Tamandua tetradactyla: one gene and its partner. The protein of the gene in region 1 interacts with the protein of each later gene in a pairwise test. Links are inferred from orthologs where the notes say so. Each region holds a gene or a part of one and is shown in the gene's direction. Other genes may lie near its edges.

Region 1 (11,451 bases):
AGGGTGAGATAAAAAAGGGTAAAAATTGAGTAGATTGAAATACTGTGAGTCCATGAGAGGGAGGGTTAAGGGGTATGGGATGTATGAGTTTTTTTCTTTTTTCTGGAATGATGTAAATGTTCTATAAATGATCATAGTGAAGAACACACAACTATGTGATATTGTGAGCTACTGACTGCATAATATGGTTGTACATGTGTGGATATTTCTCAATAAAAGTATTTTAAAAAGAAAGAAAAAGAAGCTCTGCTCCAGAGATGAATGGGAAAGGAGATTTCTGTGTTTAAAAAAGCAGGAAGGCAGTGCCTGTCACCCTCAGCAAAGGGCCCCTGGAGTTTGGGAAGTTGCCGCCGCTGGAGTCCCTAAAGTATTTTCTGGCATCAAGAATAAGGAAGGAGGGAGAAGCTGAGCTACATGAGGGCCTCGATGTGGGGCGGGGGTGGATCCTTCAGCCTTTGAGCCTTCCCCACATTGCTTCTTTCCTCCCAATACCCCAGCCCACGCCTTCCTTTGCCCCATTCTAGGTTACAGACAACACAGGGTACAAACCACGGCAAATTTATTACTTAATATCCAGTGCCACATCATAGCACCACCCAGAGCCCTCACCTTCCCCCAACCTGGCCCCAAGGGTATACCCAAAACGGGAAAAAAATAAAATAAAAAAAAAAGCAAACCCAGATCCTTGTGCTCCTCCTCTGGAAGCCCCTTCTGCAGGTCCCAGCAGGCAAGAGAGTAGACCACTCCGTGCCCAGAGAACAAAGCTCCAGGCTCCAACAACAGAGAGAACATACAGGCAGGAGCAGAGGCCTGTGTCTATCAGGAAGGAGTAGGAGGGAAGGGCACTGCCTGAGGAGTCCGGGAGTCTGGTCATCCCGGGGATGCACGTGGAAGCTTCCGGACAGCAGGGGCCTGCCCCTGGCTGCTTAACGCTTCGACAGCTCATGGGACAGCCAGTCCAGCCCATCGTACAGGCCTGTGCCTTGGGTGGCACAGGTGGCCTGGACATACCACTGTGGGGAGAAGGAAAGGAAGAGGTCAACAGCAGGGAAGGAAAGTGGATGCCTTTACATCTTTGCCCCAGCCTGTGTGGCTCCCCTGGGGAGGCAGGATCCAGTGGGTGGGGTGGGACCCTCACTGTGCGGCTGCGTAAGTGCTGTAGTCCCAGCTTGTCGGTCAGCTCGCTCACAGGCATGGCGTTGGGCATGTCTTGCTTGTTGGCAAATACCAGCAGCACCGCATCCCGCAGCTCATCCTCCTGCAGCTAAGAGGGTAGAAGAGGTGGCAGGATCTGAGGTTCCATCAGTGTCTCCAGAGTCCCTTCTCCCTGCTATGCTGGGAGTCCCCCATTCTACCTTCTAGGATTATAATTGAGCTTGAGACTCCCTAGGTCTTAAGACTAGGAATAGCATTTTTCTAATTTGAGTACATGCCCTAGTCAAAATGACCACATTTCCAAATGGGAAAACCAAAACGTCAGATGATGTTTCTCTCCACCATGTAAACCCCCTCTCCCACCCAACTTCCCACAGTCGGACATGAAGGTAAGAATTCAAGGAAAAAAATCAGTCCTGTGCTTTTTTACCAAAACTGAAAACAGGGTGAGATACATAATGTGTCCACAAAGAAACACGTACATTCTTAGCTCTCGAGGTCTGTGAGAAACATCTACGCTAGCCCCAAGATCTCTTTGTCCCCTACGTGGAGGGCTCAGTTTCCAGGGCTCCAGGTGCTCACCATCTTCTGGAGTTCATCGGCAGATTCTTGGACCCGCTCCCGGTCATTACTGTCCACCACGAAGATGAGGCCCTGGATGGGAAGCAAGAAAGGAAAAAGGAACGAACGATCATCCCCAACTGGAACATGCTCTAGTCTGCTCCTCTCTCTCATCTTCCCTTCTTTAATTGGGCCTAAATCCCTCTTGTCTAGCAAGCTTTCACCAAGGCCCTGCAGAAATCCTAGCACAAGCTGGAGACACCACAGCAAAGGATGCAGCCTCTGTTCTCAAGGAGTGAGTGGTCTAGCTAAAAGGTGTTCAAGGGAACAGACAATAAAGCTATGGTGATGCGAGCTCAGTCAGGCAGCGTGGACCCAGGGCTCTGTTTCTCAGAAGCCTAAGAGGATGAAGTCTCAGAAGGATGAGTAGAGGCCAGCCAAGAAAAGGGGGAAGAGGAAGAAAGGTTTTTTTCTTTTTAACCTGGCCTGGGGACCCAGCTAGGCTACCTTCTCAGTCCTAGCCCTACTTTCTCTTCCCTGGGGTTCCCAAGCTCCTACCTGAGTGTTCTGGAAATAGTGCCGCCACAGAGGTCGAATCTTGTCCTGGCCTCCCACGTCCCAGACCGTGAAACAAATGTTCTTATATTCCACTGTTTCCACATTGAAGCCTACAGATAATTGGAAAAATATGGAAAAAAGTCTTGTAAAGAAGGACTCACTAAAACTACTTGGATCTCAGCAGGGACACAAAACCAGAGGGCAGTGATCAAGAACAGGGGAAAAGAACCCCAGAGAACCGGCAGTCAACAGCTGGGGCGGGGCTAGTTCACATTCACCCCGCCTCCCGCAGTATTCCCGCCCCCCCCACCCCCCCACCCCCCCACCCCGCAAGTAGAGAGACATCCAGACCCACTTCTCAAGTAGCCGTATCTGGTGTCAGGGTCAGCTCCGGGGAGAGAGATAAGGGCCTCAGGCAGAACAGGGAGCAGACCCCGAGAAGGATCGCGGTGGTGCTCCCGCTCCCCGGCTCACCTATGGTGGGGATGGTGGTGACAATCTCCCCCAATTTCAGTTTGTACAGGATTGTGGTCTTGCCAGCTGCATCCAAGCCAACTACAACGGAGAGGGGCAGAGAGATGGAAACGGGAATGAGGGAGCCCCCTAGAGACCAGGGAAGGGGAGAGGTCAGGACTGCGGGTGGTGACGGGGGCGGAGAGCCGGAGCGCGTCCAGGTGCGCGCTGTTATCTACCCCAGGGGCCTGAGGGCAGTCAGGATGATGTGCGCCAACTCCTGCCCCCAAACTGGGCAAGAAGGGAGAAAACTGGGGTTGGGGTTTGCGGGAGTAAGGGACACCGGAGGAGGGCCGCGCTCCTCTAAAAGGCGTCCCCAAGGGCGGAATCTTCCCTTCTTACCAGCCGGGCCGGGGCGGAGGGCGCTTCACCCCACCCAGGCCCGCCGCTCCCGGTCTCAGGCCTCAGGGGCGGCGCTGCAGACCGGACCCACCCGAGAGCAGCGCCGGTCCTGGGGGCTTAGGAGGTGGGTGCAGCGGGGCCAGAGATCCGGGTGAGCCCGGCTGGAGGGGCGCGGGGGCGGGAGGGCTGCGCGGGGGCCGGCGCCCGGGTCCGGGCCGCGCGCTTGGTCTGCCTCACCCATGAGGATCCGCATCTGCTTCTTCCCGAAGATCCGCGAAAAGAGCGCGGACACTGTGAGGCCCATGGCGGGGCCCGGGGGAGGGGTGCGGGCACGGACGCCGGGTGCGGGCTGGAGGCCGCCGGCCGCGGGGGAACCCGGCGCAGCAGCACTAGCAGCAGCACCAGCACCAGCAGCAGGAGGCTCCGCCGCCGCCGCCTCCTCCGCGCGTCCTGGCCCGCCCTACGTCACCGCGGGCCCCCAGCTCCGCCCCCAGCTCCGCCCCCCAGCCCTCTCCTGGAGAAGTTGAAGCTGAGTCTCCGCACCTTCGCTGAATCCTCCACGGGCTTTGAAGAAGGAAAGGGTCTAGGCCTCTGCAGTTTCTAGCTCGCCTTTCAGGTTTGTGGCTGCTCATATAGCAGCCCGATCGGGGCTGAGGAAAGCCTTCAACTTTCCAAGCAGCCCCCTGTCCCCGTCTTCAGTGGCCCGCCGCTGGGACTTTGGTTCTATTGCGTCCAGCCCACTCTGGGCTCTGCTACAGCCCTTGGAAGGTAGCTGCACCTACTGCGTGCACCACCCACCTTAGGAGAGCGGAAACTCCGTTCTTACTCCTCCCTTTTGCCTCCTCAGCTCCTAATGAGGCGCTTTATGCGTAGGTGATAAAGGGACTGCAGAATCAGGTGAGGAGTGAGCCAGAGATGAGGGAAGATGCCCTGGTGATAGCTTTCATGGTTCTTTAAAACGCCTGGTTTATAGCTCTTCAAGCAGTAGCTCTCGGCTGCATGGTCGCAGACCCACCCCTAGAGTGCTGGAGAACTCTGCCTTCGCCATAATGCCCTGGGAACACTGCCTTTCAATCTGGGGCCACGCAGCTTTTCTGAAGTTCCTTTCTCCATTTTGCCACGAACATGGGAACCTGGATTAATGCACACCTGTCCAGGATTTATGGGCTTCTTGCCTCCCTAGACCCAAAGAACTTCACAAACAATCTTCCCCTCTTAGCATCTGAGAGGAAAAGCAAGATAGGAAAGAACCTAAATTTCTAGAGACTGGGATCAGTACCCAGGCACCTAAATTATGCTTAGCAAATACTTGTTGGGTTAAACTGGACTGATAGGGAGCTCAGTGGAGCAAGTACAGACATTATATTTATTCTGGAGTCCCAGTGGGCTTCTAGGATCAACTGCTTATGGACTAGGTTGGGAATCAGAAAATCTTCATTCATTCATTTACTCAACAAATATTTATTGAGTATTCCCATGTGCCAGCACCATTCCAAGTCTTAGTTTAAATCTGTTCTGCCATTTTTTTGAGAGTTTGGCTTAAACAACCCTCACAATTCTGTGGTTTTCTCATCTATAAAAGGACAATGTCTGCCATATTTATCTCAGGAGATTATGGTAAATGGGATAATTGTATCTGAATGTTTTGTGTTAGGCAGCTAGATTTTACTGGGCCACAAAGAAACTGGAATGAAGCACACTTCTAGGGCCTGCCCCATCATGGTCTGCAAAGTGGAATGAGAACAGACTTTGGGAACAAGGTGTGCACAAGTGCATGGTTTTCCTTTGCTCTTCAGTCATATATTCCATTCTTAGGAAGGCTCATACCAGGTAAAAAAAAAAAAAGTACATTTAAAAAGTACCAATATAAGAGGCAGGCTCGCTCAGTCACTTGCCTCCAATGTCTGTGCTGTGCTGCTTGTTTGCGGCTGTCCTCACCTCCTTCTCGGCTTTGGACCTCTACTGATACTGTGTCAGACAGGCTCCTGAGGCCTCTCCTTAAAGCTATTTGCCTTCCTTGTATTGGCTCTTGGGCTGCTGGACTTTAGAGACTCAGGAATCCTCCATCTTTAAATGTGTTGTATGCCCCTGACCCAGTTATTGGGTACTACCTGCGTTGGCAGCTTGCAGTTAAGCAAGCAAATAAATTGCATTAGCATCCAAAAAATAATAATAAATTGCATTAGCATAAAAAAAAGTACCCATATAATAACACAGCTAGTGGCCACCAAGTTAGGTCAGTTCTACATCTTTGGCTCTTTAATCATCCCCTTTCTTTCCATCCCAGTTGTCACTGTCCTATTTTACTAAAACTCTTCCCTATAATTGAGCCTTCTCACCTGACTCCTGCTCCTGATATCTTACCCTGCTATAGTAGTCCTGATGGTACTACCCTTGAGATGAAAATCTTTGGTATCTTCCTATCACCCAAGATAAAATCGAAGTGCCTTAATTGGGTTCCCACCTGTTGTGCCTTCCCATCTGTTGTCACCTACTTCACATACCCAAAGCTACTGTCTTGATGTGATTCTTAATGCTTTCTGGATGAGCCAGGCTTTCAGATGCCTCTTGTGATCTTTTCATTCTGCCGGGAATGCTGGTTTCCTTCATTTCTAGTTAGATGGGCAGCTGTTTCTCATCTTCCAAAACCAATGTATTTTCCCCAAGAGTCTTCTCTGCCTATTCCTGTCTTAAGTTCCGTACCACTTTGAAAATATCCATCAATACTGGTATGATAGCAGGATTTGTGTTTGCATATCAGTTCCTCACTAGATTGTGAGCTCCTTGAGGACAGGGCCATGTCCCTTCACAGTATTATCATCTGGCACATCATCTAATATGCAGTGTCAGGCTGATCTGGTTAGGATTCCTAAACTTACTAGCTTGGCCATGTTACTTACCCTGTCTGTGCCTCATGTTTTCATATCTGTAAAACTGTATTAATGTTACTGAGTAGAATTATTGCAAAGACTCGGTAGCAAACTCTTGTGAAGTTACTGGCATACATTTGGTCGATACGAAGTGCTCTCTATAAATATTTATTGAATCGACTCACGAAGAGTGCTAACAATTATTATATTATATGCCTATTAGGTGCCAAGCAAGCACTGAGCCAGAAACAGCTGCAGTTTCCATGGTAAAAAAGGGACTCTATGGCACTTTAGGGGCATACTTACTGGGCCCCAAATAGTAGGGACGCTTCGCCCACCTGGAGTGTTCGGCAGGAATGCAGGGCGACATCGCCCCCTGAAGCTCTCTGATCGAGCCCGAAGGGCAACTTCAGGCGCCCTGACGTCACCAGATTAAACCACCCAGTGTCCTCGACTTTGCTTACTCCGTTCTTCCCAAGACGGTTCCTCTACCGGTAAACCCACCGAGCTCTCAGCCGGCAACTGCCTCAGCCACAGTTTGAAGTAGCCACGCCTACCTCGCGCCCACTCTGGGCGGAGCCCGGACGGCGTCCTGTCGTCACTTCCAGCGGACCCGAAAGCGCCATTGTCGCGGGCCTCCGTAATAGTAAGCGGTGATGCGACAGCCCTCGGTATAAGCCCTTGGCCGAGCCTGGGCCAAGGGTAGTGGGGGCGGCCCGAGCTGCTGTGGGCTGTGTGAGAAGGGAGCGCGAAGTGGTCAGTGCGGAAAGTGCTGGGGTTGCGGTTCTCTCGTGCGCGCGTCGAGGCTAGGACCCGCTCCCATCCGCCGGGCCTGGCACACCGCGGGCGCCCCTGCCAACTTGCTCCGCCGCCGCATCCGGTACCCGACAGCTGGAAGAAGCAGGTGTGCGCCCCGCAATCGGACAACTCTCTCCCTGTGCCTTATAGTAAGTCCCCGCCCGTGTCTCCGCGGGTCTCTCCCGAGCTGCCTAACGCTGACGTGGAGCAGCCCGCCCAGCACGCTCATGGAGAAGTTTGGGATGAGTTTTGGAGGCGGTCCGAGCAAGAAAGACCTGTTGGATACCATAGAGTCGCAGAAAAAGCAGCTTCTCCAGTACCAGGCACGGCTCAAGGATGTTGTCCGCGCTTATAAAAGCCTCCTGAAGGAGAAGGAGGCTCTAGAGGCCAGCATTAAAGTGCTGTCGGTGTCCCACGAGGCGGATTTGGGTCTCACCGGTGTCCAACCTCCAGGCCTCACCTTTCCTGACTCTGTTGATGACCGGTGCTCCACTCATAGTGGTGATAGCACTGGGACTGCCGCCAGCTTGGATACTGCGGCCAGTCTCACCAGTACCAAGGGTGAGCTTGGGGTAGAAGATGACAAACCGGCCCGTGGACTGCCACCTGCAAAGTCCGAAGAGGCCAGTGGGTCGGAGAGTGGCGTTAGCAGTAGCAGTGGAGATGGACCTTCTGCGGGTGGGGAAGTGGACAAACGACTGCACCAGCTCAAGACTCAGTTGGCTACTTTGACCAGCTCTTTGGCTACAGTCACCCAGGAGAAGTCTCGCATGGAGGCTTCTTACCTGGCCGACAAGAAGAAGATGAAACAGGACTTAGAGGATGCCAATAAAAAGGCAGAGGAGGAGAGGGGCCTTCTGGAGGGGGAATTGAAGGGGCTGCAGGAGCAGATAGCAGAAACCAAAGCCCGACTTATCTCGCAGCAGCATGATAGGGCCCAAGAGCAGAGTGACCATGCCTTGATGCTGCGTGAGCTCCAGAAACTGCTGCAGGAAGAAAGGACCCAGCGCCAGGATTTGGAGCTCCGGTTGGAAGAGACCCGAGAAGCCCTGGTGGGGCGAGCATATGCAGCTGATCAGATAGAAGGATTTGAACTGCAGACCAAGCAGCTGAGCCGTGAAGTGGAGATGCTGAAGGGTGAACTGCAGGCTCTTCGGGATGAGAAGAATCGACCTGACTCTCGGGTGCAGGAGCTTCAGGAAGAGGCTGCTTGCTTAAAGAATCATTTCCAAGCTCAGTTGCAGCAGGAAATGAGGAAGGTAATTATCCCTTCATACATTTGTCATTAATCTGAAGTGGAAAATATTAGGGTTTTTCCTCCATTAGTAATTTGTAATTTTAGATCCAAGTGGCTCCACTGGCATTTTTGATACTATCTGTAAAGTTTGACTAGGTAATTCTGGGAAATCCTGTTCTGTATGATGTTGACAGTATCCACTGTTAGTGTCCAGCTTCCAATAGAACATGACATTTCTAAGTGTAGGCCGTATGGGAGCCAGGCAGCTTTGAGCTTCTGGCTATTGGCATCTTGTCAGCTGTGCTCCGGGAAGCAGTATAGTGGCAACTGTTCAGTGAAATATAGTGTATGGAGGACTCATGGGGGAATAAATAAGTTTTCTCAGAAGAAACAATCTTTTGTAATTGCTTTCAGTCTAGGATTGTCTGTTCTGGAAAGTTGTGCTATTTCACAGTGCATCTTTACAGTATGGAAAGATCCAACTCAGTTTTAAATTTCTAGGAATACTGGAAGAGGGAAAAACATGATTTCTTAATAGGATTTGGGAGTGTACATAATAAGCATCAGGAATGCACTTTATATGTGAGCTAAGTGTATGATGGGAGGAAAATGGGAGCATTAAAGCAGAACAGCACCAAATATACAAAGGTGCTTAATATTGTTTGGTATGATATGTATCTGGGAACAGAACAAGTAAGCCATAGGAACTTTTGTTAGCACTCTAATCTGCAGAAAAATCCTTTGTTCTCATTCTTGCCAGGCCACCCCATCCTGTGACCCATTTTGCTCTCTCTCTTGCTTTCTCAAAATTTGCCACAGGTCTTTGTGGCTTTTCTCAATACAACATGTCCCCTTGTTTTGCAGACAGCCCTTGTAGAGGATCAACTCCGCCAGCAATCTCAGATGGAAGAGCAGAGGGTGGCGGCCCTGGAGAACCAAATATCTGAGGTGTCTGAACTGCTTGGTACCTATGAGAAAGCCAAACAGAAGGACCAGCTGGCCATCCAGAAGTTGAAGGAGCGCATGCTGCAGCTGGACATGGAGAACAGGACTCTGGCTCTAGCTGCCTCCAGCAGATCCCCTCTAGACAGCCATGGAGAGGAGTCCAGTTTGGATGTCAATGTCCTGAAGGATAAGATGGAGAAGCTAAAGAGGCTACTGCAGGTCGCAGCCAGGAAAAGCCAGATGACCCTGGATGTGGAGAAGCTCTGCGACCTAGAGATAATGCCTAGCTCGGAGGCGGCTGATGGGGAGAAGGCTACTGCGCTCTACTATCAGCAGGAGCTGAAACAGCTGAAGGAAGAGTTTGAGAGGTACAAGATGAGGGCCCAGGTCGTCCTCAAGAACAAGAGCACCAAAGATGGTAACGTGGCAAAGGAGCTGGAGGAAGCCCAGGAACAGCTTGCAGAGCTAAAGGAGAAGTATATCTCCCTGCGGCTATCCTGTGAGGAACTCGAGCGGCAGCACCAACAGGAGGCTGAGGCTCAGAAGCAGGAGCTGTCCCGGCTGCAGCAGCTCCACCGGCAGGAGCTGGAGCGGAGCCAGCTGGACTTCAGGGACCGCACACTGAAGCTGGAGGAGGAGCTGCACAAGCAGCGGGACCGTGCCCTGACTGTCCTGGCGGAGAAGGATTTGGAGCTGGAGCAACTGCGCTCTGTGGCTTTTTCCTCTGGGCTGCCGGGACGCAGAAGCCCTGTGGGTAGTGGGGGTCTTGGAGACCCAGCTGACACATCTGCCTCGGATAGCCTGACCCAAGCACTGCAACTTGCTGCGGCCAACGAGCCCACGTTCTTCCTGTATGCTGAGCAGTTGGCCCGCAAAGAGGTGGAGATCACATCACTCAGGAAACAGAAGCACAGGCTGGAGGTAGAGGTGCATCAGCTGCAGGATCGGCTGCTGGAGGAGGGGGAGCGGCATCGTGAGGAGGTTGGAGCCCTGCAGAGCCACATTGAAAAGAACATCAGGGACCAGAGTAGGGAGGGAGCCAACCTGGAGTACCTCAAAAACATCATCTACCGTTTTCTGACCTTGCCTGACATGCTGGGCCGCCAGCAGACGCTCACAGCCATTCTGACTATCTTGCACTTCAGTCCAGAGGAGAAACAAGTGATAATGCGGCTCCCAGCCAGTGGTAGCTGGTGGCCTTCTGGCAAGAGATGATGCCATTTTCACTGACTTCTGAGACTTCTGTGCCTCTTCGTGTGGGAAGGGGCAGACTATGGTTTCTACTGCCTCTGCCTCTTCTGTTTTTGTTTATTTCTTCACTGTGTTGAACTGGGAGGAATCTTCACTGTGGGATGGGATTTTCTGCCACATGCCATCAATGCATCTGGGCCCTAAGGATACTGAAAGTGTTGGGATAACATCTTCTGGTGGCATGTACGTGTGTGTCTTGGATTGTGAGGGGGAAGAGGTTAAAACTGAGGTGCAGAAGTTGAGGAAGTGGTGAGAATCTCTTAAAATAAGATTTTTTTGTTGTTTTAATATTATGCTTCTTGCTTAGAGCTAGGAGTAAATGTGTCTCCGAAGGGAGTTCAGTTAACTAATTTTTCAACATGCCCTGAGATGTACAATGACCATTTACTCCATCACAGTCTGAGTCTGGTCCAATGCTGCTCCTATTTTCTGGGGACATAAATCCAGGCTGGAAAGGGCTAGGAAGCTTGAAATAGTGACAGATTGTCCACTTGTCCAAAGGGTCAAGGAATAGTGAGTTCTTGGAACCAGGAAGTTTGTTTTAGTTAGGGCCAGGGTGTGACCCAAAAGATCTAGACAAAACATGCCATTTATAACCATCCTAGAGAGGGCCCTGAGTACCATTTTGACTTTAAGAAAGTTTCTGAGTGACTTGCTTGGGCCTAGCTAAGGTTAAAATAGGCTTCATACTTGTTCCTTCCTTAATTTGTCTGCCTAAGGTTGACTTTGCTGTCTTTTCTCGGTGTTGAACTTTTCATTAAGAAACAAAATCTTAGCTTCTTATGAAGAGGGTTTGGATTGGTAAACTAATCCTGCTGGGGTACAAGGAACAAGCTCAGAGATTTGCTAACCTCTGTTTCTACCTTTGTAGGGACAAGGAAGGAGGAGAAAGATTTGTTGCAGAGGATTCCAAAAGGTTATTGTCATCCTTATAGGAAAGTGATGAAAGTTCAGCTGAGGCTGGGCTGGGGTACTTCCTGCCCTGTAGCCAGCATTCTGGCTAAATCTCCACCTCCCTGAAACCAGGGTGCCTGTTGTTTACTGTAACCAGGGTATTTAGACCACCCCTTAGGGAGGTAATAGCATTTTAATCTGCAGTCCTCATGTTCCCATACATGTTGTTGTAACTTTTCCTCCTTCAAAGGGATTTCTTTTATTTTCTCTTGTATAAATATTTTCATTCTGGTGCTCGCTTCAGCAGCACATACACAAATGTATTCA
Region 2 (11,438 bases), on another chromosome or scaffold:
GAGCAGGAGAGAAGACAGACAGCTACCTTCAGCTTGAACACTAACTGGATTCTTGTTGAAGTAAAAAAGGCAGTTAGAAAGCCTTCCTGGGTTTGCTGCAAGCTTCCGTGACAGGTTCAGGACTCAGAATGACCTTTGAAGTTCTCTACTCTGCATCCTACGGCCCTCTGCAAGGTCAGCCGAGCAGCTGCCAGAGGGCCTTGTACAGTGACAAGGAGATGCTCAAGTGGGATTGCCTCAGTTCTCGCCATCTCATCTCTCACCTGCCTGCGTCTGCACAGAGCTGCTTTCCTGCAGGCTGCCTTCACGCACTTCTGGGCACCCCTCACACCTCTCCAGAGGTCTTTGCTCTGCCTACACAATCCTCTGTGGACCACTCCTATTAGCAGACCCACACACTGTAGGAGCTGCTGCCCCCAAACCCTTCCTTGGACCCCACCAGCTCCAGCTCCAACCTGGCTCCCTGCCGCCCTTAACAGTGAGCCCCTCAGATACTCCCATTTCCCCCCCGCTCCACTTTTCTTTCTAGCTTCACAACTCCCACTGCAGCTGTCTTACCCACTCCCACCTTGCCTTCCTTTCTGTGTCCTTCCTCCCCTTTGGAGCATCTTAGAGCTCAGCAGTCCCTAGGGAAATGCCTGTTTGCCGGAGACTTAGTTTATACCCATGCCTTCCCCCCTTTCTCTGACCCCTACTTCTGCATCCAATGGGCTGCTGGACAGCTGCACCCATGGGTCTTGGCACCTCAAACTTACTGTATGCAAGACTGAACTCTGTTCCTCTCCTCACAAATCTGTTCCCTGTAGTCCCACCAGCAGCACTGCCCCTCCCCAGCGGCTCACACCCCCAGTCCCATGGGTGGAGTCCACCTTTGCAGTATGTCCTCCAGGCCCTCACCCCTCCTTACACTAGGAGTCTCCCCAAGGCTCAGCTTCCATCCACAGCCCCCCTCAAGCCAGAATGACCCCACCTCTACCCCCAGGCCCACAGAACCCTGTATCTCTGCCCAGCGCTGGTGACATCCCTCCTCTGGTTCTCTTGTGGACACACTGCCCATTTCCATCTAGGACCCAGGCCCATCCCTTTGTGTGGATGGCTCTGTTCCGTCCTCTGCACCCCCTCCTGTCACCTCCTCTGACCCTCCCACCATGCCTCCATGCTTCTCTGGCCTCTCGTCCACAGCACATCCTGCCCGCTCCAGGTCACACTCTGGCAATGATGCTTACAGAGCACAAGGGTCCACCTTCCGCTAACGACATAGGGGACTTCAGGCTGGGCACCCACCAAGGGCTGAGGACCCCCTTTCGTTTTTTATTTAATTTAATTTTTATTTATTTATTTATTAAACATGACAACATACATTTTTACCATATGATCATTCCATTCTTGATATATAATCAGTAACTCACAATATCATCACATAGCTGTATATTCATTATCATGATCATTTCTCAGAACATTTGCATCAATTCAGAAAAATAAAAAGAAAACAGAAAAAAATTCATACACATCACCCCCTTCCCCTTCCTGTGGACCCTTCCCCTCACCTTTGCTGGCGTCCACTTCGTCCAGCAGCACCTGGGAGATGTAGTGGATGCTCCTCAGGTACGCGGCATATGCCTCCTGGGCATGGGAGAGACAGGTGGGTCAGCCAGCGGAAGCCAAGAGCCTTTGGGAAAGGTGGCAGAGTGGGGCCTGCATGTCTCTGAGACACAAGGGGGCAGCCAGGCTCCTGCCACTCTGCAGGGGTCCCCTAATCGCAGATGACCCTCACTCCTCCAGATCTGAGGGGGATGCCAGCCCCTGAGAACATAAGGACACTTCTCTCTATAAGTGCTGCCTCAGGCACCGAGAGGGGTCCAGCTGGCACCCATCCCTCCTTGCTGTGTTTCTCTCCAGCACAGGGAGGAAGTAAGATTCTCATTTGGTGGGACTGGGTAGACAGTCTCAACAAGTGCACCCACGTTTCAGTCTGAGTGTCCTTTCTGTGCTCACAACGCAGGCACCATTTGTTCAGGGGCTTTACAAGAAACAAAAAGTCCTGGGTTGTATATGCTAGACCCTCCTCCTGCCTTGGCGTGGGGGCCTGAACCATGCATCTAGTTTGGACCTGGTCTTGGCCCTACTCTGCATTCTGGGGTGTGGCCCACTTTAAGTAAGGTCTCTTCAAGACGTCACTTCAGTGACAGTGTGGCCCTAATGAATCAGCTGGGCCTTTAATCGGGATCACTGGAGTCCTTCATAAGCAGAGCCAAAGTCAGACGGAGAAGCCTCGGAATCAACAGAACCAGAAGAGGGAGGAGAAGGTGCCACCATGTGCTTTGTGGTGGGACGGAAAAGCCCAGAAACCCCAGAGTTTGCTGGCCAGCCAGGAGATGCCAACTCTGGGAGGAAGCGTACCTTTTAGGCTCTACAAATTCCTGTTACTAAGTCAACCCATTATATGGTATTTATTTTAGGGGCTAAGAAACAAAGACATATTTTTGGTACTGGAAAGTGAGATGCTGCTATGATAAATACTAAACGTACAGAAGCAGCTTCAGAATTGGGTAGGAGGTAAAGGCTAGAAGAATTGTGAGGTGTTAGATACAAAAAGTCGAGTGCACTGAAAAAGCTGTAGGTAGAAATATGGATGCCAAAGGTATTTCAGATGAGGCCTTATAAAGAAATGATGACTGTGTTATTGGAAATTGGGAGAAAGGCAATCTTTCCATAAAATGGCAGAAAACTTGGCAAAATTGCGTTCTGATGTCAGATTGAAAGTAGAACTTGTAAGTTATGAACTTGGATATTTAGCTGAGGTGATTTCCAAGCTAAGGAAGGTATAGCCTGGCTTCTCCTTGCAGCTTACTGTAAAATATAAGAGGAAGGGGTTAAACTGAGAACTGAACTCATAAGCACAAAGAAACCAGAAATTGGCAGTTTGGAACATTCAGTTCATTCGACTACCTGCTCTAACACTAGGGCCAGAGGCGGCTCTGGCAGAAGCTTCTCTGAGCTTCTGGGAAGGGAGTCCCCACAGAACAGGGCTTCACAGGAGGGTTTAATGGAACAACTCTATGCGAAAGAAGGTGTGGCTGAACGTGGATTAGCCAGACTCTTGAGTGGAAATCAGGATGGGAAACGCAGTTATCCAGGATCTATACAAAGTTCTACCATCTGATGGCTTGGACCCATTTGAATTACACATGTCTTTTGCAAAATTTTCATGGGCAGAACCACTGTCAGCCCAGATTGAAAGGGACAGAGAAAGGACAAATTGAAGGAAGAACAATTTTAAGACCAGAACCATGGAAGCAAAGGTCTGGACTGAAAAGACCTCAGGCCAAGCGAGGGAGCCCACCTGCTACGTGGGAAGGGCAGGTCATCTACCCCAGTGCTTGGAGGAGGCGGCCCAAGCTCAGGGACAGTGCTGCTGCCCCAATGTTCAGAGACGGTGGGGTCTGTGTTCCAGTGTTTGCAGAGAGACTGGCCGCCATCCTGAGCTTTGCAGACCTTCACCCCAGTGTTTCGGGTGAGCATGGCCACTGCACAAGCTCTTAGAAGGGTATGCCGGCCCCACTATTGTATATTGGGAGCAAATAACTTGTTCTCCAGGTTTCACAGGTCGACAGACAAAGGGAATTAGGCCCCAGGACAGACATACCCATAATCAATTTTGATGAGGCTTTCTACCAAGCACTATTAGTGGAACAACTTAAGGCTTTTAGATGGTTGTGATGGAACAAATGTATTTCGCACGTTGGAAGGATGTGTCTTTTGGGGAGCTAGAGAGTGGACTGTGGTGGGCTGACTCATGCTTCAGTACAGACACATTCTTGGTCTTGGGTGTGAACCCGTCCTAAGTAAGATCTCTTCAAACTGTTTTTTCAGTTAAGGTGTGGGCCCAGTGAACCAGGCTGGGCTTTAATTCGGATTACTGGAGTCCTTTGTTAAGAGCAGGGGGAAAGTCAGAGGGAGAGAAGCCGTGGGGAGCAGTAGAAGCTGGAAGTCAGAGGAACCCAGAAGAGGCTACCATATACATTGTTAAGTAATGGAAAAGTCAAGGAGCCCCAAAGAGAGCTGGTCAGCCAGAAGACAGGGGCGCTGGGAGGAAGCAAGCCTTCCGGGCTGAGACGTGAGCCCATAAATCCCCCTTGTGAAGCCAACCCGTGGTGCAGCGTTTGCTGAGCAGCCGGGACACTGAGGCACCGGGAAGCCCCGTTCCGGAGCCCCAGAGGAGGGGCTCCCTGGGCAGATGCAAAGCACCGGACGTGTTGGAGCCTCCGGCCTCGGGCAGGAGGGACCACGGCACAGCGCTCTGTCCTGGCATTCCAGGTCCCTGGCCACTCACTACCTTCAAGCCCACACCTGGAGATCAACCAGGGTGGCGCGGATGCCGGGCAAGGTTTCTGACCTGTGGGGCGGCTGGCCGAGGGTCGAGACGGGGCAAAGTGCTGGGCCCCGGCGCCGGAGGGTGAGCGCGGCTCGCGCGGCCCTGCCCGCTTCTCCACCTGCCCCGCCTGGGCCGCGCGCCCTCCCGCTCGCCTGCGTCTCTTCCCGGGCAAGGTGGCCCGAGCGGCGCCGGAGGAGCTGCGAGCGGCCCTTTCCCGGAGCGCGGGCCCCGGGCTGCCGCGAGTCTCCTTCACAAACGCACCGCGGCCACGTCGGCCGACCCCGACGGGTCGCGCGGAGCCGAACCGGGCCCTCCCGCCAGTCCTCCGCCCGCCGGGCCCCCGCGCCGCCGCTCTCCGCGACCCCGCCCTCGCCGCGCCTCACCCGGGGCCGGTTGCCGGTGTCCAGCTCGATGGCCCCGTTGGCGAGTTTCATGGCGTTCTGCAGCGGCTTCGCCGTGCTGTCCCCGGCCGCAGCGGCCATGGCGCCGGGCGGCGGGGACAGCGGAGGCGGCGGCCGCGGGGCGGGGCGGCGGCCCCGGCCGGGAACCCGGAACCCCGCCAGCGAGAGCTCAGGAGCCGCCCGAGCAGCGGACCGGCGGAAGGGGCGGGGCCTCCGCGACAGCACTTCCGGTCCCCGCCCACCGCCCGAGCCTGTCTCGAATCCCGGCTGCCTGCCGGTGGCGGAGAGCGCGTTTTGCGGCGCGAAGTTTGGCCCGCTACCCGGACTGGCATGTGGGAAGGGAGAGGCGTGATGAGAGCCCTCTCCTACCGCCCTGAGCCGGGGTCCTCGCTCTTGCTCTGTGAGGCGCAGTCGGCGCAGGCCCCTCCGGCGTTTGCCCGCCCGCGCCTCAGTTTTCCTTCGGTAAAGTGGGGATAAGAGCAGGTCGGCGCTCCCACACGGGCGTCCGCGAAGCCGAGCGTTCAGCACGGCGCCCGGCCCGGGGACAGCGCTTCCCGGGCGTTAGCAGCTGCCCTAATAGAAGGGTCGGGGCCGCCGGACTCGAACTTCGCCTGGTTCGCGCCCCTCCCGGGCAGCTTCGGCCCCGCCCTTCGCCACTTTCCGCTCCGCCTCCCTGGGAGCGATCTTGGTGGAGCCTGTAGACGCCGGGCCGAGCGGGGACGAGCCGAGCCGAGCGCGGCCGAGTGAGCCGAGAGGACCCGAGCAGGGCGGACCGAGTGGGGCCGAACCGCGCCGAGAGGAGCCGAGCAGGGCGGATCGAGCGGGGCCGAACCGCGCCGAGAGGACCCGAGCAGGGCGAACCCAGCGGGGCCGGGAGCCTGCCGGGCCTTTTCCCCGGGCCGCGCCATGAAGCGCGACAGGCTTGGCCGCTTCCTGTCGCCCGGGGCGGCCCGGCAGCGCGGGGTCCCTGGCGGCGGTGGCCGGGCCCGGGGCCGCCCCTCCCGCAGTGGGGGGCAGAGCGCGGGCGGGACGGCGGCGGCGCGGCTCGGCTGGGGCCCGACGCGGGCCTGCGGGGCGACCGAGGAGCTCGCGGAGCAGGCAGGTGGGTGGGCCGCCGCCGCGTCTCTCGGGATTCCGGGACGCGGGCGGGGCCGCAGGCCGGGGTGGCGGAGGCCTCAGAGCCGCCGTCTGAGGGTCTCCGTACCTCCCGGGGCGGCGGCCCCAGGGCCCGGGTTGGCTCCAGCGCTGCTGCCACCTCGGCCTCCGCGCGCCCCGCCCGAGGCCCAGCGCGTCGGTAAAGCTGAAGAGTGCACGGGCGACGTGAGTTCGGGGTCCGGCTCGGGGCGGGGAGGGAGCGGCATCGATGACGTCTGGCGGTGGAAAGCCCACCCAGGGAGCCTGCTTCTGGCCCCCCGGGCCAGCGTGGGGAGGAGTGAAGTGGCTCTCTGGAGGCGTGGGGGCTTCTCGGGCCCGGGCGCCTCTTCGGGGCCTGCGTGCTTCGGCTGTAGCGCCCGGAGCCCTGCCGCTGGCCCAGGCCCCCGGTGCCCTTCTCCGCTTCAGGCCTGGGAGGTTGGTGAGGGGGCCTTGGGGTACTAGTGTCCTGGGTGCCCGTGGCATGAGCAGCTCGGAGCCGGCCTCATGGCTGACCAGAGGCATTTCTCACCCACCCTCCCCAGGACCAGGCCGGGCCTTTGCCATGGGGCGCTGCCGCCTCTGCCATGGCAAGTTTTCCTCACGGAGCCTGCGCAGCATCTCTGGCAGGGGGCCTGGGGAGGGCGTGGAGAGCCCACCTGCAGGGGAGCGGGTGTTCGTCAAGGACTTCCAGCGTTTGCTGGGGGTGCCGGTCCTCCAGGACCCCGCGCTCTCGCCGTTTGTCTGCAAGAACTGTCATGCCCAGTTCTACCAGTGCCATGGCATCCTCAGGGCCTTCCTGCAGAGGGTCAACGTCTCTCACACGGGACAGCAGAAGCCGGGCGGAAAGTAAGCACCCATCCATCTGTTTGTCCAGTGGGTGCTGCTCTCATGGCTGGGAGTGTGGCAGACAGTTAGACATAAAAGCTTGGCGAGAACGTTTGTTCTGTTGGGGGACTAGCGTACAGTCAAGTGAGCCCCAGACGTGAGGCATAGGAACAAGGAGACAGACAGGAGGGCAGTGAGGATGGGGGATGTGAGCAGTGGGCAAGGAGGGGCCTGAGGGTGAGGAGGCAACCATGGGAAGAGGTCAAGTAGTCCAGGAACAAAGGACTGGTTGGAGGACTCCTGCCGGGTGTGTTAAGACCTTGGGCACCCACTCGCCCTAAGCCCCCAGGTGCAGCTGCCCCCTCCTGCATCTCCTCCCACTCTAGTGATACACCATGGTTCTTTGCAGGGTCAGTGTCCAGCCGCAGACTGCCACAGAGGAGGGCGTGTGTCTGGGTGAGTGTGTACCCGGGCAGGTGGGCTGGGCAGGTGTGTGGGTATGGTAGCCTGGGTACTGACGGGCTCGGGCCTGTCGTCCCTGTTGTTTCCTTGCAGTGGACGCTGTCACATCAAGCTCCGAGTGTCTGCATGGCCTGGTGGGCTGGGTGCACAGGCACGCGGCCAGCTGCGAGTCCCTGCCCAGCCTACAGAAGGCACTTTCCTCTCAGTACTGCGGTGTTGTCCAGGCCTTGTGGGGCTGTGGCCAGGGCCACAACTACACCATGGACACAGACACTGGCTGTGGGGCCTTCTTGTTGGACAGTACACTGGCGGTCAAGTGGGAGTGGGACAAGGAGTCAGCCATGCGACTCCCCCAGAAGAGAGGCCCCTCCCTTGCTGGGGCCACCCTGCAGGATGCCCCAGGCAGAGGACTCACAGCTGGGGCTGAGAGGACACTGCCTGGCCCGGTCACAGCCCTGCCTTCTGTGGATAGCAGCCCTGTGGGGCCTGCACAGAGCCCTCAGCCTCAACCAAGCCCACCCCCCAGCGGGGCCCCAGGTAGGAGCCGATCGGGCCTGTGCCCGTGGGGCATTCCGCTGTGGGAGGTGGTCATGGTGGTGCGCTGCTGGAGGGGGTTGATGGGGGCTGGCAGGGGGCTGGGCCTGCCCCCCCTCTGAGGTCTCTGCACTGCTTGCCACGTCTGAGGAGCACGTGGTGGCCTCAGTTGCTTCATGAATAGGACCCGTTTCAGTTGTTTCCGAAAAGATGCTCTTTGTGTCTAGTTTTCTCTAGCTTGTGCCCTAGACCGAGGGCACTGAAGAGACACGAAAATGGGGCCTCATTGTGGGGTGCAGGGGAAGAGGACAGACTTTTCCTGTGAGGCTGATGCTTTGGGCCAGCTGCAGGACATTTCCTGGACCTCAGCCAGGGCCCTGGTGACGCCCCAGTACGGCAGTGTGAGCACACAAGAGGGGAAGACACAGGCCTCTTGTTTAGGCCAGGGTCTTGTGTTGGGGTGGGCTAAGCTGCTGCTTGAGGTTGTTGGTCCTGGGAGAGCTTGACCAGCCTTGGCTGCTCCCATCTGCCTGTGCACTGGTCCACATGCATGTTCAGATTTTGCGTCCAAGTCACAACACATAGAGAACACAGCTACCCAGGTGGCTCAGAAAGAGAGAGGTGTGGATGCCGATGAAGTGGCTCGGGTTGGGAAAGGGTGCATGGGGCCTTGGGAAAGGGGGCTAGTGGGGTTGGGTGGAGATTTGCTGTGATTGTGATTGTTACAGCAGTTGGGTATGGCTGTCATTATATGTATTGCTTTGCTAAGTATGCATTTAAAACATCCAAATCACCCACAAAGAATAGTTAATTCACAACCCTACCTCAACAGCTAAATCTGAGTCCTGGGGAGAACATGCCCCTGGGTTTCTGGTACCCAGCATGGCAGGTGCCCTTGCTGGATTCAGAGGTTGGGGGGGTGGCTCTGAAGCTGGGCAGGGCTTGGCGAGAGGGACTCTGTGTGCACACAAGGGAGGTGCCTCCCATGTGGACCCCCCCATCTGTGCTCTCCCAGCCCCTTTGCAGGTAGCAGGCCCTCCACTCTCTGTTGGTGACAGGAGCTTTTTCTTTGTTTCTCAGGGCACTTGAGTGAGAAGCAGCTTCCGTCTTCAGCCTCGGATGATCGGGTAAAAGACGAGTTCAGTGACCTTTCTGAGGGGTGAGAGAAGAGTGGGTTTAAATAGTCTAAAATTTCTTCTTCGAAAACCAAACGCGGCTACCTGGGCGCCCACTTCCAGGCCTTCTCCCTGCAGCTGCGGCGGGAGGACTGCCCGGGCTGGAGGTCTCTGTGGCTTCAGGGCTCCTGCCTGGGGCATCTCAGGTCTCGGAGGCCTTCAGCCAATGCAGCTACAAAAGTGGGCAGGCCATGGCTTGTGTAACCTCGGCAGCGTGGAGGCTGTGTTGTTAAAACTGTCCTATGGTTGGCTCCTTTTCTGTTGCTTGTTTGTGCTTCCCTTAAAAGCTTGAGTTTTGTCTCAGTCCGAATGTTACTCTCCCACGAGGAAGCCAGGTTCAGGTCCTTTTTTAGGACTTGAAGCGGGGGTTTTGTGCTTGAGGCGGCAGAGGAAGCCAGTGACCACCCTTTACAGGTTCTCTTGCTTCCTGTGACCATCACCTGCCTTTGAGCTGAGCCCCTGAAGGTGGTGGTTTGTTCCCCAGGCTGGGTCCCTATACCCTTTTCTCCAGACCCCTGGAGCCTGGCTGGAAAATAGAATCCATCCCTGGCAAATGAGTACGGGGACCAGCACATTGTTGGTACTGGATGAAATAGGGACTTGATGAAGAATTACTGAGGGTTGCTAGAAGGAACAGAGTCTGTGCTGGAAATGTAGCCTGTGGCCACATGTGGCCTGCTAATCCTGGTTCTGCTGGCTAACTTTGGGCCTCTCTCTGTCCAGGCCCAGGGTGGCCTGTAGTGGAAGTGTGGGCAGCTTCCCTGTAGGATCTGGCTTGGCTCAGTTTGGTGCACAACAGAGATTTAGTGGCAATTTATACTTTAGTGTACAGGTGACGGGCATGTAGATTGTTTTCCTTGCCTTCGTAAACTTCCTGGGCAGCCCACTGTGGCCGGGGTCTTCACTCCCTGCTGGGCAGAGTTTGAGGACCCTGATTCTAGGAGAGCCTGGCTTATGGGTGGAATTTTTTTTTTCATGTTCATTTTTTTAAAAATTGTGGTTTAATTTCTAAAATGTAAAGACATTTTAATCAATTTATTGTTTTAATTTTAAAGACTTTTTAATTGTGGTAAGACATATGTAATATAAAAATTAAAACCATATTAAATGGAGAATTCTTTGACAGTAAATTCATTGACAACACTGTGCAACTTTCACCATTTCCAGACAGCTTTTATTTTCCCAAATCAAAACTCATCCTCATTTAGCAGTAACTTCCCATTTCCACCTCCCCCAATCCTAGGTAACTACCGTTCTGCCTTTTGCATCTTTGAATTTGCTTATTCAGAGTATTTTATGTAAGAGAAATCAAACATTATTTGCTATTTTCTGCCTGGCTTGTTTCAGTCAACCTGATGTTTCTAAGGTCCACCAACGCTGTAGTATGTACCAGCACTTCACTTCTTTTTACAGCTGAATAATATCCCTTTGTACAGATAGACCACATTTTGTTTATATATTTATCTGTTGACAGACCCTTGGGTAGCTTCCAACTTTTGGCTATTGTGAATAATGCTGTGATGAACATCAGTGTACAAATTTCTGTTTTGAGTCACTGCTTTCAGTTCTTTTGGATATATACATAAGAGTGGAATTGCCAGGTCATATGGTAATTCTTTTTAACTTTCTGAGGAACCACCAAAGTATTTTCCATAGTGGCTGCACCATTTTACATTCCCACCAGTGATGTACGAGGGTTCCAGGTACTCTGCATCCTTGCCAACACTTGTTATTTTCTAAGTAATAGCCATCCTTGTGGGTGTGAAGTGGCACCTCATTGTAACTTTAATTTTCATTTTTCTAACGGCTGATGATGTTGAGCATCTTCTTACATCATCAGCCGTTGTAAGAAGATGCTCAACATCTTATTGGCATGTTGAATATATGGCTTATTGGCTATTTGAATATATTCCTTGGAAAAATCTTTGTTTATATGCTTGGCCCATTTTTAGTTTTTTTGTGTTGTTGTTGCTGCATTGTAGGAGTTCTTTATATGTTCTGGATATTAAAACCTTATCAGATACATCGTTCTCCCATTCTGTAGGTTGACTTTTCACATTCTTGACAATAGTCTCTCTATAAGAGTTATGATTTTAATTAAGTTCATTTTATGTATTTTTTTTTCCCTGTTGTTCCTTGTGCTTCTGGTATAAAATCTAAACATCCATTGCCTACTAAGGTCCTGAAGATACTTCTCTGTGTTTCTTTGTAAGAGCTTAGTATTAGTGTTATATTTAGGTCATTGATCCATTTTTTTAAATTTATTTTATTTTTTAAATTCTTTTCATTGATCCATTTTGAATTGCGTTTTCTGTATGGTGAGAGGTAGGGGTCCATATTCATCTTTTGCTTGTGTGTTGCCAGTTGTCCCGGTACCATTGGTTGAAGACACTATTTTTACAGTGAAGGGAGTTGGCACCATAGTTCAGATTCAGCTGGCCATAAATGTGTGGGTTTAACTCTCAGCTCACAGTTCTGTTCTGTCAGTCTCTGTCTGTCCTTAAGCCAGGACCATTGTTTTCATTACCTTCG

What was found.
Region 2: the proteins of GCC1 (region 1) and ZNF276 interact in binary tests that used the Homo sapiens proteins (3 or more experiments, as listed by UniProt). The two-hybrid records come from large-scale screens. The link is inferred for Tamandua tetradactyla from reciprocal best matches to the Homo sapiens genes GCC1 and ZNF276.

The regions. Positions count from the first base shown.
Region 1 is NC_135327.1:168,990,159-169,001,609, reverse strand, and holds the start of GCC1 (GRIP and coiled-coil domain-containing protein 1), read left to right. Parts: upstream 1-6,934; 5' UTR 6,935-7,024; coding exon 7,025-8,056; intron 8,057-8,898; coding exon 8,899-10,194; 3' UTR 10,195-11,451. Other genes in the region: ARF5 (ADP-ribosylation factor 5), read right to left, coding at 927-1,013, 1,139-1,264, 1,738-1,809, 2,275-2,384, 2,749-2,829, 3,367-3,433. UniProt on the Homo sapiens protein: Probably involved in maintaining Golgi structure.
Region 2 is NC_135342.1:83,815,014-83,826,451, forward strand, and holds the start of ZNF276 (zinc finger protein 276), read left to right. Parts: upstream 1-6,046; 5' UTR 6,047-6,139; coding exon 6,140-6,756; intron 6,757-7,144; coding exon 7,145-7,191; intron 7,192-7,290; coding exon 7,291-7,734; intron 7,735-8,811; coding exon 8,812-8,890; intron 8,891-11,438. Other genes in the region: VPS9D1 (VPS9 domain-containing protein 1), read right to left, coding at 1,548-1,623, 4,759-4,857. UniProt on the Homo sapiens protein: May be involved in transcriptional regulation.